Oryzias latipes: one gene and its partner. Each later gene encodes a partner of the first gene's protein in a complex. Links are inferred from orthologs where the notes say so. Each region holds a gene or a part of one and is shown on either strand. Other genes may lie near its edges. The genes, in order: ercc2 and polr2d.

The links.
Region 2: ercc2 (region 1) and polr2d share a complex: the UniProt entries of both Homo sapiens proteins name them as parts of the TBP-based Pol II pre-initiation complex. The link is inferred for Oryzias latipes from reciprocal best matches to the Homo sapiens genes ERCC2 and POLR2D.

What each region holds. Positions count from the first base shown.
Region 1 is NC_019871.2:4,134,427-4,138,745, reverse strand, and holds the start of ercc2 (general transcription and DNA repair factor IIH helicase subunit XPD), read right to left. Parts: upstream 2,876-4,319; 5' UTR 2,705-2,875; coding exon 2,700-2,704; intron 2,522-2,699; coding exon 2,422-2,521; intron 2,305-2,421; coding exon 2,227-2,304; intron 2,159-2,226; coding exon 2,096-2,158; intron 2,025-2,095; coding exon 1,911-2,024; intron 1,835-1,910; coding exon 1,718-1,834; intron 1,631-1,717; coding exon 1,514-1,630; intron 815-1,513; coding exon 691-814; intron 615-690; coding exon 518-614; intron 1-517. UniProt on the Homo sapiens protein: ATP-dependent 5'-3' DNA helicase. Component of the general transcription and DNA repair factor IIH (TFIIH) core complex, not absolutely essential for minimal transcription in vitro.
Region 2 is NC_019878.2:10,414,227-10,418,714, reverse strand, and holds polr2d (DNA-directed RNA polymerase II subunit RPB4), read left to right. Parts: upstream 1-1,391; 5' UTR 1,392-1,527; coding exon 1,528-1,606; intron 1,607-2,139; coding exon 2,140-2,320; intron 2,321-2,391; coding exon 2,392-2,487; intron 2,488-3,400; coding exon 3,401-3,479; 3' UTR 3,480-3,984; downstream 3,985-4,488. UniProt on the Homo sapiens protein: Core component of RNA polymerase II (Pol II), a DNA-dependent RNA polymerase which synthesizes mRNA precursors and many functional non-coding RNAs using the four ribonucleoside triphosphates as substrates.

The DNA of each region.
Region 1 (4,319 bases):
GATGAGAGGAGCTGGAATGAAGCACACATGACCGATTCCTGAAATTATTTAACAGAAATTCTCAGATTATGGTAATAAAAACACGCCTATTTGCTTTTATTTCTCCATATGGAGGACCAGCTGATTAACCGACACTTCCAGGATGAAGAAAAAATCCTTGAACCTAGAGGCAGGAAACTTCAGGATTTTTCTCTTTAATTCAGTTTGGATCAAACAGAAGCGTCTTATTTTTCCACCCAAAGATGTTTATAGAAATAAGAAAAAAAACAGTTTTGACTCCAAGCTCTGATGTTTTCAGAATCAACATTTGAATTTGATTTCCTTTCATAATTGAGCTTTTTTTTTTTTTTAATATGGATGAGTCTGATTTATGGTTAATGACAAACAGAAACTCCATTACCCACAATTCCTGGTGCCATTAGGGTTTTACAGCTCAAATTTTTGGGGGTTTTAACGCAGAAAACTCCAGATGTTTTTCGTCCTGGTGTGGATAAAAGCAGACTGGGCTGCGTCTCACTTCTGGATGGTGTGCTGAAGTGTTTCCACGTTGCTCTGACAGCGGTCCAGAGTCCTCCTGGTGATGTTCACGCTCATGGAGTCGATGCAAACGTTGTCTGAGGAACGAAGCGGACAAAAAAAGATGAAGGGGAAGAAAAGAAAAATGAAACAAACTAAAGAGAGACGGTTTACCGATGTTATGAGCTTCATCGAACACGACCACCGATTTCTTGGCGAGCTCTTTGGACACCAGATCTGCGATCTTTGGGTCTAGGAGGTAGTGGTAGCTGTACACCACAATGTTGGCGTGAAGAATCTTAGGACAGAAAAATGAGATTTTAAATAGAAAAAAAAAACATGAAGTTAATGCCAACAGTCATTAAAAATCACAAACTAAACATGAGTTTGGATTATTTTCTTTGGTAAATAGTGACGTTTTTAACTTTCTCAAGAACACAGCCATATAGAAGCAGAAGGCAGAGAGAAGGTCACATGACTTGGTTCAGGTCAGAGGTCATGACTCTTTGTCATGACGTTTCTTGGAAGCTGTGGTCAAACTAAGGACATCAGAAGAGAAGTCAAGCATGGGGGTGGTTGTGTGATGGTCAGGGGCAGCTTTTCATCTTCACCGACTACTTCATAAATTTTAACTTCTTCAGGGAAAATCTCGAAGAAGAAAGTCCATCTGAAGCTCCAGAGCTCTGCGGCAGCATGAGGTTTGCTGAATGGATCAAACATCAAGTTTCTGTGACGACCACGTCAAAGTTTGGACTTAGATCGAACAGATTAACAGTCGTTGATGAAAAATCCTCCAGTCCTTTACAGAAACGGACTGACAGGTGTCTGAGCAACCTGACTGCAGCTGCAGCTGCAGCTGCGCAGTTGGGCTGCTTTGATCTGGATTTTAATTGGAATTGGTTAAATGGACACAAAGGAAAACATTCTCCAGATCCATTCAGTCCCTGAAAGGGTTAAAGGTCAGGCACGTGCTGAGCGCCTCTGCTTGGTTACATACCGAATACCGAGCCAGGTAATAAGGACACCAGCCTTTTCGTCTGCCAAAGTCCTTCAGGTCGTCCAGGTTGTAGATGCCGGCAGGAAGGGGAACCTGCCGACCGACGGCGTCAAACTCCTGAGACACAAACCCAACATTCGCAGAGCTTCAGCCACGTTGACGTTCATGCGGTCCGATTTCCCGTAAGCTGAGGCGATTTTCTACCTCGTAGAAGCGGCAGACAGGCTGGTCGGGGTTGCTGTGGCGCTGAGCCCGGATGTAGGACGCCGTCAGGCTGTGGCACTTCCCGTCTACCTCCTTCCCAAAGCGCAGAGAGCTCACCTGATGGACGAGGGAGCTTCCTGTTTGATCAACATTTCCAGAAAGCACGGAAACCCTCAGCTTTCAGGGTTTTTACCTCAGGATGGATGCAGAGATTTTTCCTGGAAGACAGCGCCAGAGCCAGGAAGTTGTTGACTTCTCCGGTTTCTTTAGCGTAAAACTCCATCAGCTTCCTCAGCTCCTCCACGACCTAGATGAGCGGAGGACTTGAAAAGCTCCTGGAGATTTGCTCGTCGTTGGCTGCGGAGGGGTCAGACTCACCTTCTCGATCTCAGGAACTGTCCTGGAGCAGTAGATTAACTTGGTCACATCCAGCGGGAACGCCTGAGAATCAAATAAAGCTTAGAGCAGCTGTCGCCATGAAGGCTCAGAAGGTGCAGAGCTGGACTCACCTTCTGATAGGCCACAATGAGGGACAGCAGGGAGATGGTCTTCCCTGTTCCTGAAGGCATCTCCAGTACTCCATGACCCTGAAACGCAGACACAACACAGTCACTTCACCGTCTCCAGTGAGTTTTCCTGGTTTATGAAATTACCGCACTACATTTCCCAGAAACCCATCTAACACCCGAGTGAAAGAAGCCCACCTTTGCGTCCAGGGTCCTCTTCAGCTCCAGCATGTAGGAGTACTGCTCCGGATAGATGTAATCATACGGAAAATACACCAGCAGACCTTCTATGTTCAACCTGCGACCAAACAGCAAACAGACTGAATAAAACAGCCCAATGCAGACACACGCAAACACTTTAACAGACGAAAAACTTTTCTTTGCTAGCTCTGTCAACACAAACCAAACATTAGCATTAGCATCAACACGTGCTGGTTTAGACTTTTTGTTTACGTCACAGTAACAAAAGAACTCACTTCATCTTCTAAAGAGAAACTTTCCAAAAACTTTCGTCTTTGATTTACGACAGATTGGTCCTTTTAAAGTGAACAGATTTAGGATAACTACACAGAGAACACCAAAATGTTAACGACTTCTTCTTCTTCTACTGTTGTTGTTGTTGCCGGCGTTTCTAAACGCTCTACCACCTGCAGGCAGGAAGAAGAACTGCAGGAACATTAAGAAGAGTCACATGCAAAAGGCATTCTTTTATGGAAGCATTTCTGTTGCACAATTCAAAAACAAAAGTCAAAACCAGAAATGCTTTTATTTTTGAATTATGCAACAGAAATGCTTCCATACTAAATAAAGCCCCTCTGTGAAACATACGAAAAAAAGTCTCTTTGCCTGTAATGTGCATTTTCCCCAGCAGAGGGCAACAATGTTCAGCTCCTGCTCAAACTTCAACCAGCGTTAGAAAATGTGACGTCAGACCCCTCAATGTTTTGATTTTTTCTTTTAATTTCAGAATTTCATTCTTTTTCAAATATTAGTCTTGTATTTTAATCGACAAATATAAGTCGAAAAATTGTGTTAAAAATCTAAAATACGAAGATGATTACAGGAGATTATTTGGTTCTAATGTTCTGTTTTTAAATTGAAAAAGAAGTTTCTCTTTTTTTGTCATCTTTCCTTAAATGAAAAAAATAAGCACGCCATTGAATTCAGAATTCAAAGTTAGGCATCAGTTTTTAACTCTGATGAATATTTTTACACTAATGTGGGGATGGGTGCTGTTTTTACACCCCTGTTCAACAATTTTGGTTATGCAAGTCTTGTGTGCGCCTGTCTGTGTGCATTTGAGATAAATCTATCGAGCCATTTTTATGCACCCGTGCCGGTCTACCACGTAATACATTCATTTATTCTAATACATTTTCGCAACTTCTGAGACGTGTGCAAAAATTGGTTAGTTTTTTAAGCCTCAAATAGGCGAGTCTTTACTCGGAATAATAATAAACATTTTAAAAACCATAGAGTCCTTGCAATCCCTCTGCTCGGGCCCTAATGTGTTTATTTCACTGCTTTTTATTTCAAAACTGCAGCTTTACACTACGGCCATCAGAGGGCGGTATTTCATCAGCATTAAAGTCCATTTCTTATATTAATCCCATTTTGTTGCAAAAACCAAAATGTAAATAAAATAAAGTGTGATTCTGTTAATCTAATAAAAGCGATTTACAGAGCAACTACTGACACCTTTTCTATTATTTTCCAAGAATTTAAATGAACATTTAACAAAGTCATGAAGATTTGTGCTCAACTTCCACATGTTTATGACATCCTTTGTCCATAAAATGTGCACCGATTGGTTTTAGTTGGAAAAATAGCTGAAACTCACCTCAATTAGGCTGACTGGTCCTATTGCAGGATTTCAAAATAAAGTCACAGACTATATTTAGATTTTCACTGCATGAACATTTTACTGCTGTTGTTGATTCTGATGCTGCTGTTATTTTTTTTTTGTTCTTAATGTTTTGTTATGCGTGAAACTCGTCACACCGTGTTGTTTTCATCAGAATCCTTTAATTCAAAGATTTACAGAGATATATTTACAGCATTTCAATGTTGGGAACATGGATATTTAAACACAGAAT
Region 2 (4,488 bases), on another chromosome or scaffold:
GGACAATTTTAGAGTAGAGTACCTAATTTACCAATAAAACATGCTTTGAACCCCTTCAGGAACCTGAAGGTCTTGGAAAAAACAATGGACACACAAAATGTAAAAACCTCACACACATTCCAACCCTACCGTTCTGAAATTTGAATCACCACGCCACCTGGTGGAGTTGCAGGAGATTACAAAAGGTGAGAAAATAATAGTTGCTACAGATTCATTCTCAAGTTTACAGAGTTTCAGAAGTGTTTGCTACCAGTGTAGCTGTGAAAAAAAACGTGTGGCAACTTCAGGTGGAGTATAAAGACTAAAGTAAGACTAAATAAATAAATAAATAAAGTAAGACTAAATAAAGTCTGCATATGACCTTATGACCTGCAAGGAGCAGGTAGAGAAGCATCTAGAGAGGAATAAAGACCAGTCACAGCAAGATAATGTACCTACATGGAAATACAAGAAGCAATTGAAACTGTTGAAAACTAATAATGCGGATAAAGAACATTTTTAGTTATAAAATAAAGGTTTGTATTTTAAAGGTCACATGGTTAAAAAAAATACAAATTTTATATGATATAAATAACACTGACAAACATATCAGTAAGAAATTCAAAAGAGAGGGGAAAAGATGAATAAAGTTAAAATGAATATCAGGGACCAAAAATCTCAGCAGGTCTATGCTATGGCGAGCTCACATGGTCTTTTATTATTGAACACTACAAATGTTAAGTTAGGAACCTGTAAACATAAATGTAAAACAGTTAGAACATTTAGAACAAAAAATGAGATAGATCATCAAATAAAGACACAAGAAAGCAAAACAAAGACAGAGTCAACTAAAAAACACCTAAATATGAAGAGTTTTGATATAATTTAATGCCTTTAAAAAAGTTGAAACATTTTCTTGCTTTTTTACTTTTCATGAATTAAACAAATCTACTTAAGAAACACATTAAACAGTGGTTTGGTTTTTAATAATTTACTTTTATGAATATAAAATTTGCTTTTGATTGTTAAAATATTTTAAACTAAATTTAACAGACTGTTATGTGAAATTACACCAAAAAGAATGTTGTTCTTTTTTAATGAGACTTGAACAGAGGAATTTGAACACCACAAATGAAACTCATCCCCAAAAAGATTCAAAGTACATGCAATCAACAAGCAATTTCAACACAAAAATACAATTGTTTTCTTTAAATCTTTAACTTTAACATTTATTTACAAGGAAATAAATTATTTATTACAAGGGCATATATGACTGAACAGTTCTATCGTTGTGTTTGAGGGGAGTTCCTACACTTCATCTTCCAGGACAGTAGGTAGCAGAAGCGCACCATTATTGCTAGATGACACCCGCCTAAACCAGAAGAAAGCAGAGGAAGAATATCACCGGAAGTAGATCGGTGTTGTGACCGGAAGTTCCCCGAGCGCCGTTGTTCTCTGCACAGTTAACGTTCTCACCGTAGTCTCCGAGAGAAGCTGACGGAGCTCATCGGTACTGCGCGCCTCTGCGACCCGTGACTGTGACTCGACATGACTGCCGCTGGAAGCTCGGTTTCCTCGCACGTGGGAGACGTCGAAGAAGACGCGTCACAGTTGCTGTTTCCCAAAGGTGGCGCGCACAAATACTGTTTACTTCCGAAACTTTTTGTTAGGTTACAGTGTAACCTGTATTGGAAACAATTACGTTGCTATATGTGACCGATGAGGATAATCATCCCCTGATTATTAATTTATGTAAGCTGCATCACCGATTTGAATCTGAATATTTTCATTATACGACCATCATCATCTGTACTGGTTAAATGTTTCTCTCACTGACACACATGTATTGTGATCATCATGATGTTTGGTCCACTGATCAAGATAGAATTATTTGTTTGTTTGCTGAGAGTAAACTATAAGTTTAAATTTACATGGATTGCTGTCCTGGAAGGTCTGAGACTCAACAAGCTTCCTAAAATAGTACAGGCTGACTTTGATCAGCAGGATTTTTGTCCTACTTCTTGAAACAGGCCTTAAATTCCAGTCCACAATCACTGCAGGAATCCTTCTGTCTTTCAATCAAAATGGTTCTGGAGCTGATATTCTGTAGAATCTGAGCTCAAATTCAGTGACTAACCAGCCCCCTCCTGCTGTCTGCAGAGTTTGAGAACTCTGAGACGCTGCTGAACTCGGAGGTCCACATGCTGCTGGAGCACAGGAAGCAGCAGAACGAGAGCGCCGAGGACGAACAGGAGTTGTCCGAGGTCTTCATGAAGACTCTCAACTACACGGCCCGCTTCAGCCGCTTCAAGAACCGCGAGACCATCACTGCCGTGCGCAGGTAAGGATGCCCCTTCTGGTCCCAGGTCCTGGCCCTGATCTGGGTCCTAATGGCCTTTCTGTCTGTCTCAGTCTCCTCCTGCAGAAGAAGCTCCATAAATTTGAGCTGGCCAGTTTGGCGAATCTGTGTCCTGAAGCTGCAGAGGAGGCTAAAGCTCTGACCCCCAGGTGAGTCTGGACTGAACCGGACTTGTTCTTTTCACCCATAAATTACAGGGTCTTCGTTAACCAATCTGTGAAAAGATTCACCTGACATCAGATTATTCTGAACACCTTAGTGATTTTAGGATTTTTGGGAGGCTTGACTTTTTATTTTATTTTAACACTTTCAGTAAATTGAGTAAAAGTATAAGTTAGTCTGGATGCCAAGGAGATTTATTTAGTAATGTCGAAGTAACACTATTTTACATTAAGGGCAGACGTGTGCAGCTTTAATTGAATTAATTCAAAGAGAAAACCTGAGAGATTATCCTAAACTGGATCAGAAAACATTTTGGATCAATTCATCACAGACATGTAGTTTTATGCTGTTCTTACTTGTCAGGAATTGGTTTCTTGTTGAAATTATTATGCATTAAAAAATAGCAGATAAGTTATTTTAGATTGTTTAGTGATCATTATTTTTGTGAAAATATACAGTGGTGGACAAAATTGTTGGTACCCATCAGTTATAGAAACAAATTCCAGAATTCTCACTAAAATGACTTGAAATGTTCAAAAGTAACAATAAATTAAAATTTAATGAAAATGAAATAATCAAAATCAGCTTTTTAATTTGTTGATTGACAGAATTATTTAAAAAAAAAAAAAAGCTAATGAAATAGGGTTGGCCAAAAATGATGGTACCTCCATAACAGACTGAGAACTAATTGCCCAGGGGGTCATGATGAACTCAGGTATGTCCTTAAATTGACATCATAGCTGTCTTCAAACTCATAATCAGTCAGTCTGTCAACAATTTTGTCCACCACTGTATCTTACTGAGATATGGATCGTTTTGCAGGTGATGTTGTTACAATTCTTATCAAATAATTCATCGTTGAGAGAATAAAGTTCTGCCGGGTTCTGCTTCTTTTCTCAGTCTGGAGGGTCGCTTTGAGGATGAAGAGCTGCAACAGATCCTGGATGACATTCAGACCAAGAGGAGCTTCCAGTACTAAGACCAGGACCAGCAGCTGGACCTGAGACCTCCAGAACTCTCCTTAACAGAGGCAGCGTGGTTCACGTTCCACCGGGACCAGAAAAATCACAGAACATTTAATCCACCCACCACCCAGCAGAATCTTGATGTACTTTAAAGGCACACAAGATGCTGTTTGTGTGTCTGATTCTATCCGGTCTGTGGAAAATCCAGCACATGTTGATAAGAAAACTGTATCTGTGCTCTGCTCCTTCGGGTACCTATGGGCAGAAACTCAAATCCATCATCAGTGAGCTTATCCCGAACACCGCCCACTCGTACTGCCAGCTCAGACCTGCAAGACCACCTTCGAGTCAGAGTCCACGCAAAATTGATTCCCAACAGAACCTTCTTGTCCCAGGAGAACCCCTTTTAGTGCTTTTGTGTGGTTGTCTGTCCAAACCGCTTATTAGGAGCGGAACAGGGAACTGGATTTATTGTGTTGATTGAAAATAAAAATTTAAAAAAACTACACCAAGGAACAACCAAGCAAAGTTTGTAAAGCTCTTTTAACAAAAAGAATCACAAAGTGAGAAGGAGAGCCGGTGGACCATAGGGACAGAGGCAGGGAGGGATCTCATCAAATCTTCCAATCTTTATTACAGCTAAAGGGTAGGTAGGTGGTGAAACAGGAAAAGATGCAGCAAATGAATCACAGGTGCTGTCATTCCCTTCTCCACCAAGGATTCCTAGATGGATTGCTGTCCATTAAAAAAAAAAAGTTATATACACAATATAAATTAAAAAATGTAAAGACGTGATATAGCATCAGTATTAGCATTGGCCCCAGGGACACAGCAGGGAGAGAATTGGGGGGTACATTTTAAACTGTTCTTCTGAACACTCACTACGGTCCATGACTCATCTAAGTGGGGTTCGAACCAACATTTTCAGAGGAATAAGACTTGAATGCCATCAGTAACTGAAGCTTTACCATTGGAACAATAAAGTTAAATTTGAAATAAAAAAACGGCCAGCATTGGGTAAGA